3 linked regions of the Sus scrofa genome follow. The protein of the gene in region 3 interacts with the protein of the main gene of each other region in a pairwise test. Links are inferred from orthologs where the notes say so. Each region holds a gene or a part of one and is shown on either strand. Other genes may lie near its edges.

Region 1 (3,479 bases), on a different chromosome or scaffold from region 3:
TCTGTCTTCTGCCTTTGCTTGGGGGGCTTCTTTTGGATCTTCCTTTACTTCAGGCTTGGCCTCCAGAGCATCTTTAGACTCTGCTCTTTCTTCAGCCTTTGCCTCGGGATTTTCTTTAGGGGCTGCATTTTCTTCAGCCTTGACCTCAGGTTTTGGTTTTGGGTCCTCTTCTTCCTCACCCTCTAAGGCAGGCATTTCACTAGGGCCCTCTTCCTGCACTTCCTCATCACTGCTAAACACCTCATCCTCCGAATTCCATTCACATTCTTCCTCCGTGGGCTCATATTCTGCATTGATGATTTGGAATCGCCGATCATACAGAGGCCTATTGAGTTCGGCATATTTTCTTTCGAGCTCGTGAATTGCCTTTAAGAACAGGGCGTCTACCTTGTCACATTCATCTTGAATATTTCTGAGCGCCTGCACACGATTTCTAACTGCCCGAGGCAGCTGATCCACGAAACTTCTACCCGACGGAGCCCGCCGCGCCCTTCTGGAAGGCCCAGGTACCCTCTTCTTTCTATAGAAACGGCTGCGGCTATTGCTGCTGCTGCTGCTACTGCTGCTGCTGCAACTAGTGCTGCTGCTAGAGCTGCTGCTGCTGCTGCTGCTGTCAGATTCTTCCCCAGAATCGCTAGACGAGCTAGCCACCATCTCTTCATCCACCCCCTGGGCCGCAGCTCCCGAGACCCTGTTAGGATCCGCTTCTGCCATTCTGCAAGCCTGCAAACCGCTTAGCGTGGTGACTACCGCGCGCACAGAGATGGGCCGAAAATGACTCACGGATGCTTGGGTGGCAGCGGTGGAGGTCGGGGCAGCGGCGAAGGCAGCAGGAGTGCAGGGCGGGGTGGGGCTGGGCTGAAGCCGCGGAGGCGGCAGCGACACTGGAGGCCTGAGCAAGAGCGGCAGAGGTAAGGGCTCTCCCGGCTGCAGCTGCTGCGGACCGAGGCGTGCCTCAGCCGAATGGCGCAGTGCGAGACCCCGAGATCTCTTCACTACTAAGATATTGAACCCCCCCCTCCCCTAGCCGTCAGACCTCCCGTTAATTTCGTTCCCAGTGTGCCCTTTAGCTCTCACCTCATTTGCTAGGCATGCTTGATCGACAAACCCTCAGGCCAATGAGTAGCCAAAAGCACCGCCCCCTCCAGACTCCGCCCACCTTCCCAGACGCTCCTAGGTAGCTAAGGCTCATACCCCAGGAAGACGTTTTTCCCCCTCAAAATTTTATCCTTATAGTTTTATAATTCAAAAAAAAAAAAAAGCTTAGCTATGAGGTAAAAATACTAGTCATGGTTTCTAACAAGGGAAGAGGAGTATCCTTCTCCCATCTGCCCTTCATTAATTCCCGTTTGGTTTGTCAGGGGCCTCGTGACAAAAATCTGTTTTTTAAAAATTGGATGAAAATACTCCAAATGACATCTTTGGGTAGTGTGCTTGTGGATGATTTTTTAATTCTCTTTCTTCTATCTAGATGTTCTATGAGCATGTATTTTTACACTGGGGGGAAAAGAGGGAGTCGTTTATTGGCAAAGCGGGGAGGGGCTAGAAAGCAGGCATATTGCCTTCCACGTAACAGTTTTAATAAGTGCTGTCTGTGGTGTTTGGCAAGCCTGGTTTATATCCATCTACAAGGTTTGCGAACCCATGTTGCCGTGAGTCAGTTACACCATTTTTTACTATATTTCTCCTTTTAATTTGGCGTGTAATAAACCCCAACCTTGCTGCTGATTTGCCACGTAGTCCTTCTCAATGCTTGTAACAACCTTGTAGATAAAATAAGAGGGCATTCAAATGTTAGGTAGTATTTTTTAAAAGCAGACGCTTTGTTCTATACTTTCATGCAGCACTTTTCCATTCCAGGAATAGCAGGATGGGAGGGGGAGTCTGTGCTGATGAAACTGCATCCTCTGTCAGGGTATACTTTACAATGTCATCTGCCACCAGTTTCCTTCTAAAATTGTAAAATGCTAGCCATACTAAAGTATGATTTACAAATCCAGTAATATGTGAATAAACTTGCAAAATGAAGTTTAAAAACAGCTGTTATTTTTATTTGCAGGATTCTTTTCTGCCACAGAACAACTCCCTTGGTACAACCAAAAAGACCCGTGTTTACTTTTCATTAAAAGGTAAGGAACATATTTAGCCCATTTTTATGAATGACAAGAATTACCTATATATATTTGAATAAAAATTCACGACAGAGTCTTTTAAAGACTTAATTGGAAGATAGTTCTATGTAAGCAGAAAAATCCACAGAGGTGATTTAGAATATTAATGAGGAAAATAACCTAATTAATGACATTCACTTTCTAAACCTGCTCATAGAAAGCAAGTAGCAAATTAAAACATAACATCTGATGAATTATTCATTTCAAATGAGGAAAAATATTAAAGTAAGATTAATCTTTATGTTGCTTCTTTATTATAGGATTTGTGCTTAGTCATTTAGTCATGTATTTATAAATTAAGAAACACTTTTATTTTCTATTTTGTAAATGAATTTAGTTTTATTGTTTATTCCTGATTGTCAAAGTATGTAAGCATTGTAAGGGAAAATACAATATAGAAAATTAAAATAATAATAGAAATACACAATTTTAATCAAATGATAACTATTGTTAGCATTTTGATGCATTTCCTTCTGGAATTTTCTTTGTACATGTACATGCCTGCCTATTTATATATACTGTTTCATCTTGTGAACTTATGTTTTGTAACCTGTGCATTTATCAGTTAATTGTGGCTATACTTTCATAGAAACCGATCAATATTTTATTTTAAAATAGATGCATATTTCATGGAAATATTTGCCTTAATTTACTTAACCAGATTCCTCTTGTAGGGCAGTTACTCCCTGCACCATCTTTCCACTAACGTACATTTTCCTGTTGTTAAAAAAGTTAACCCTGGATACCTGCTATATGAACTTGTAAAAACTAGTCATCTGATGAATTCCTAGAAATGGAAGTGCTAGAATGAGTTGTATTCTCATTTTACTCTTTGACACATATTGCCAAGCTTCTCTCCAGAAAAAATGATCACAATTTAAAATCCCAACAATAATGCATGAGTTTATTTAGCCATTCAACTAATATATTTTTGTGCCTGCCACGTGCCAGGCACGTGTGGTAGAGGATAATGATATAATGCTGAATAAAACTTAATGGGTGCATATCCTCTCATTCTATAATTTTCATTAAAATATATACTATGGAAGGTATGATTTAAATCAATGAAATTATGCTATAAATATTGTTCTACAAATTATTATTTTTTTAAATGATGGACATATTTTGTTAATGCTTTATATTTTTATAGTACTTTAATGATTTCATATATATGTTAAATTTTATACTATCAAGAATCAGCATTTTGGGGAGTTCCCTGGTGGCCTAGCAGTTAAGGATTCAGCCTTGTCACCACTGCTGTGGCTTGGGTTCAGTCCCAGGCTGGGGAACTTCCACATGCTGTGGGTA
Region 2 (1,888 bases), on a different chromosome or scaffold from region 3:
CTGGGTTATGGAATCAGAAAGAGACTTACCTATTGGTTTCACCACTGACCAACTGTTTGACTTTGGGCAAATTATTTACAATGTTCAAAGCCTATTCTCATACCTATGCAGTACTTCTTATTTAAGATGCAAAAGTTATCTTAATGAAAATCCAGTAGAACGACAGGCATGATATGATACAGAAAACCATTTAGAAACATTTTTAAAGGATAGAGGGGGAAAAGTATTGCTTACTTTTTTCTTGTAATGCCTGCAATTTATTCAGTTCTTCATTCTCTTCATCACTCTCTTCACTGCTTGTGCTGCTAACATCCAAAACTATGTCCCTTTTTGGGTCTACTCGGAGAAAATTGCGGCATTCAAAAGTCAGGTGACCAGCTATATAAAACAAACAAACAAAAAAGGTGAATGACAAAATTACTGGTACATATTTTCTGTTGTGTCACATCATAGTAAGCAACAAGTTACAATTTTAATAATAAATGTTTAGTTTTAACTTTTATTCAGTAAGTGGCTTTTTTCTTTTTTTCTTTTCTTTATAATAGGTTAATTCAATAAGCATTTTTTTGGAGGAGAGCTACTTCTTATGGATTTCAGTATATTGAATTATGGTATTTTCCCTTTCAATACACTAAAGAAAATACTCTCAATTCAGGATTTTATTTTATTATTTTTAAATTTTTATTTATTTATTTTAGTGCTTAATTTTAATTAAAATTGATCATCTAGATAAAGAACAGGACTAGAATAGTGTTTACAATCAACTTCTGAAAAATCACATATATATATATAAAGGAAATAAAAGAGGCCAGCAGAAGTGGGAAAAAGGTGCAGCTTGTATTATTGCACTTGGATGAAATACGCTGTTCAGGCTAGCATAATACTTTGTCCACAGGACGCTGGGAAGAGGAGCTAAACAGGGGACAAACCCCAGGGTAGTATTTATTCTGGATTCTCCAGTTTGCTCAAAAATATTTGGTATTTTTGAAACGTTAAGCTAGAGCTCTTTACAAAAAGGACTGTGTCTTCACATGTTTTAGTTACAGCCAGGCCCTGCATTCCAAATCTTATGCAAGTTTAACGGACAGCTCTACCTCACGTAATGAAACATCTGTGATGTCAAAACCACCCAGTGCCACAGGCCATGGAAAGTGGGGAAGGGAATGAATTTCTACTTTACACAATTTTATACAGTAATACCATGGCTACAGCTTACCCTTCTCAAGCGCTCTTCATTTTGGTCATTTATATCAGGAGATGAGGAAAAAGTGACAGTGAGCTGAGTACACATGGACACTAAAAGCAATTCCTAGGCTACCGGTAGAAAATAAAATTTGAAAAAGTCCCCTGTCACATTCACAAAGGTGGCATATGCGTATGGGTAAGAAAAAGGCTGTAAACTTATAGGAAAGATAAACTCTGGCTTCTAACAAATTACAAAATTCATTTTGCCTTTACCCTTGAGTGTTTTAAAGAAAAATGTAAACCAAGTGGCCTAGTTACCAAAAAAACACACTTATCCTCCTAAGCCGAGGAATGACCTCAGAGTTTGGCCTGTGCTAGTTTTATTTTCAAGTTTTCTCTGAGTTTGTCCATGAACTCAAATGTATCCAAGTAGTCAGAATGTTGCACGTTGGGTAAACCTTTAACACAAGCAGCCAAGTCCTTGGTCATGAAGCCAGCCTCAACAGTCTCAATACAGACTTCTTTCAAAGCCTTTGCAAAGATGCTGAGCTCTTTATTGTTATCAGAATTAGCTCTGTGGGCTAGCCCTCTGGTCCAGGCAAAACTGGAAGCAATGGCATTGGTGGACATCTCCTGTCCTTTCTGGTACATATGGTAGTGACGTGTTACAGTCTCGTGGGCAGCCTCAGCTTCTACTGTCCTG
Region 3 (3,760 bases):
CAGTGTTAGGTGGTAGGACGTGATGGGGAGAAAGATGAAGCAGGGCGGGGGCGGGTGGGGGAGGTAGACAGAGCCCGGAGGTCCCGAAGAGCCTCCCTGCTGGGTGGGGGAGATGGGGGTGGAAGATGCCTTTTGAGTGAAAGTTTCAATGGGGAGGGAGAAGCGTTGAGGCTGAGGGCACAGCCACGGCAGTGGCCCTGAGGTGGGAGTGCCTGTTGTGTTCAGGAAATATCTGAGCAGGGAGACCAAAGTCGGTTGTTGAGAGGGGAAGCATAGGACAGGCGACTGCAGGGGTGGTGAGAGGGGCTAGATCCAGCAGGGCCTGTGGGTCATGCTGAGGGCTTGGCATTTACTCCAGCGAAATGGGAGGCACTGGAGAATGTTGAGCAGCAGAGTGACGTCTAACTTTCATTTGGAGGATGGATTAGAGGGGCCCAGTGGGCAGGGAGCCCAGCTGAGAAGTGATGCGGGGAGAGCTGGTGGGAGTCTGGGCCAGCGCAGGGCCTGCCCGGCACACAGCAGCCCCATCTTAAGCACCATTTTCTGAGGCTCACTGTGTGGAGGGCACGTACGGGGCCCTTATATCCATTACCTCATTCAGTTCCCCCGACTGCGTGGGAGTCTCCACAGAGGAAACCAGCTCTCGGGTCAGGCCGCCGGCCCAGTTCCCCAGCAGGTTTTCCTGGCCGTGGCAGGGAGCTTGTGGATGGAAACAGCTTCAGGCAGAGAAGTAACAGAAACTGAGGCCTGCACTCGGCTCCTTGTGGAAAGTGCTCTTTGCCCTGCCAAGGGCCCATTTCAAGGAGCAAAGTGTGGGTCCCAGCCGCGAGCGCAGTCCCGGGCAGACTGAAGGAGCCTGGAGAGTCCTAGCCATGTCTGGGTGAAGATCACCCAACCGTCACACCTGGCCCGGGGCTGGGGTCAGAAGAGGAAACCCCAGTTCATGTTTCACTGCCAGAGAGAAGCACCCTGAGAGGAAAAGGCCTGAAAGTCCCCAAAGGGTTGGGACCAGGAGGGAAGAAGCCAGGAGAGAGCAGGTCACGCCGATCCCTTCCGGAGCTCTAGGGGCCCCGCACCCGGCTCTTACCTGCAGCCCAGGTGCTGCTGCTTGTCCTCCTCCAACCACTGCCAACGGAGTCTGTTCCTCTCCCTGGAAGGCGGTGGCCCTTGTTCCAGCTGGGTTCCTGCTCCCCGGTCAGCTGACTCATCCAGGACTGGGATGGGCCCAGGTGCGGCGTGGTGGCTGGGGCAACCTGCCTTAGGTCACCAGGTCCAGAGGAGGGCTGTGGCCTTAGTCTGGATGTGGAGGTGGGGATGGAAGCTCACACAGCTCCTCTTGAGAGGGGTGTGAACCAAGACTTCCTGGCTCGAGGTAACCGAACTTGGCTCAGACACGTAGTCCTGCTGAACATCAGGACAGATTGATGGGTCTTGAAAAGTGGCCGTACCTTGTGACCTACCATTTCCTTTTCTAGGAATTTGTCACAAGAAAATAAAACAAGTAGCCAGTGAGGTCTCGGGGGCCCATCACTGTGTTTCTTATAACAGGGAAATCTAGAAATCCCCAAATGTCCATTGCCAGGGTCTGGTTAAATAAGGCAGCCTCTGTGGAAGGTCATAAAGCTATCAGCGTTGTTGATAAGGAAGGAACCAGGAGGAAGTGTTCCGGCAAGATATGGAAAAGTCAATATTGTGATAATCAGCTTGTCTTTTGTTTTCATTTTTCCAAAAGTGAATAGATACTGCAAACTGTCTGGGAGGACAAAACTGAAAAGGCTGGAAATCCAGATGGTGGGGTGGGGTGGGGGTTGTTAGTTTGTACTTTTGTGTCTGTTTCAGGGTGGTGGGGTTTGGTTTTGTTAATCTTTACTTTGAACGTTCATGATTTTTGTAAGGAGGGGCCGCCAAATTAAGGTTAATTGTTTTTAGGAGTTCCCGTCGTGGCTCAGTGGTTAACAAATCCGACTAGGAACCATGAGGTTTCAGGTTCGATCCCTGGCCTTGCTCAGTGGGTTAAGGATCCAGCGTTGCCATGAGCTGTGGTGTGGGTCGCAAACGCAGCTTGGATCCCGAGTTGCTGTGGCTGTGGTGTAGGCGGGCAGCTACAGCTCTGATTCGATCCCTAGCCTGGGAACCTCCCTATGCCTCAGGTGCGGCCCGAGAAAAAGGCAAAAAGACAAAAAGAAAAAAGAAAAAAAAAAGATTAATTGTTTTTAGGAGGAATTTAGATGGGTTGTCTCCGGGAAGAAGTAAGGGGCTGAATGCTGTGGTGGGAGGGGCTTTTTTTCATAACATACTTTGGGGTGCCTTTTAAATTTTGAAAAAATTTAATGTATTTAACTATCCCCCAAAATCAATCAAACAGAAAAGGGGGAGGAATGTAGTTGCAGTCCCTGTGGGTTGGGTTGTACAGAGGTGCCTGGGGAGGGACTGGCCCTGGTGCTGGGCAGTCCCCTGAGGAATGACGCAGGGCAGCCGCCCAGGGCGGGGTGAGTGTTGGGGCTGCTCAGCAGGCCGGGTGGCCCATGTCACAGTCCCCGTGACGAGCCTGGGCAGAGACGCACCGGCCTTGGGCGCATGTTCAGCCCCAGAGAGGAGGCCCTGCCGGACTCAGAGGCTTCCAGCCGAGAGCCACACATGGGAGGGAGTCGGAGGGGGAACAAGAGCAGGAAAGGCAGTTACCAGCCAAGGAGCCCTCCCTGCCTGCAGAGCGCGGTGCTGTACAGTCACAGGCTTGGTGGCTCCCGCCATCCCGCAAGTAGGCAAGAGGCAAGGTCCCTTCTCTGAAGTCACACAGCTGCACATGGCTCCAAGGTCCTGTTTTCCGTCTGTGAGAAAAAGGCACCTAAAGCTGAGGCAAGGACACACCCGAGGCTGAGCCATCTGGGCCCGAAGCGCCGGGGAACCATGGGTGTGGACCCTCCTTAGGTGGGGTTCTCAAGGGCAAAGTAGAAAATAGAGACTGAACCAAGTGACACCCCACCCTCCACACACCTCAGTTCACCCAGTCGAGGTCTCAAGGGGCTTTTGGAGAAGATGGAGGAACCAGAAGGGTGAGGAACTTGCTTGTGGTCACCCAGCACGTCCGCATAGACTTGGGACTAGAACCCACGTCCTCTCACCCCCACCGAAATGCAGGGGCTCATTCCATTCCCTGGTGCTACAGCTGCCTCCACCTCTGACTTCTCCCCAGCCAGCCACCCAGAAGTCCTTTTTCTTGGCACGCCCTTGCTCAGAGTCTTCAGTGACATCCTGCTGAAGGGTCAGGGAGGGAGGGTCAGGGTCAGGACTAAGTTCGGGGGCCTGACAGTGAGCACTCCATGGTCCAGCCCCCTTATGACCATTTCGATTTTGTTCCCCCAACACGTCTACCCCAGCCAAGCCACATCCGCTCCACTCCCACCTCACACCATACCTTTGCCTGTGCTGCTGCTTCTGGGATGCCCTCCCCCTGCCCCCACTCGGCCTAGCCAGATCCACTGAGCGCCTCTTCCAGGAAGCCTCCTGATCCCCCACCCTACCCACGTGGCCAGATAAGACCGTCCTGTGGCTCTTTGATAGGAATCATCTTGTATTGTTCCCATGTCCTTAGGCTCCCAGTTAGACCCTAAGTTCCTTGAGGGTAGGGCCTTGTTAGTAGATCTACAGTGGCTGTTTTCACAATAAAAACTGGAATCTGTGCTCTGACCAGGATATGATTCTGCATTGTTATACTCATGTGTGAACAGTCGTCAGGAGTCTCAAAGGTGGGGGTGCAACA

The links.
Region 1: the proteins of SDCBP2 (region 3) and FAM133A interact in binary tests that used the Homo sapiens proteins (3 or more experiments, as listed by UniProt). The two-hybrid records come from large-scale screens. The link is inferred for Sus scrofa from reciprocal best matches to the Homo sapiens genes SDCBP2 and FAM133A.
Region 2: the proteins of SDCBP2 (region 3) and SREK1IP1 interact in binary tests that used the Homo sapiens proteins (3 or more experiments, as listed by UniProt). The two-hybrid records come from large-scale screens. The link is inferred for Sus scrofa from reciprocal best matches to the Homo sapiens genes SDCBP2 and SREK1IP1.

What each region holds. Positions count from the first base shown.
Region 1 is NC_010461.5:76,148,780-76,152,258, forward strand, and holds the start of FAM133A (protein FAM133A), read left to right. Parts: upstream 1-1,069; intron 1,070-1,153; exon of another isoform or gene 1,154-1,177; intron 1,178-1,183; exon of another isoform or gene 1,184-1,274; intron 1,275-1,294; exon of another isoform or gene 1,295-1,425; intron 1,426-1,459; exon of another isoform or gene 1,460-1,652; intron 1,653-2,059; 5' UTR 2,060-2,129; intron 2,130-3,479. Other genes in the region: NAP1L3 (nucleosome assembly protein 1-like 3), read right to left, coding at 1-714.
Region 2 is NC_010458.4:43,318,703-43,320,590, forward strand, and holds part of SREK1IP1 (protein SREK1IP1), read right to left. Parts: exon of another isoform or gene 531-1,888; intron 379-530; coding exon 235-378; intron 1-234. UniProt on the Homo sapiens protein: Possible splicing regulator involved in the control of cellular survival.
Region 3 is NC_010459.5:33,965,542-33,969,301, reverse strand, and holds the start of SDCBP2 (syntenin-2), read right to left. Parts: upstream 2,228-3,760; 5' UTR 1,088-2,227; intron 1-1,087.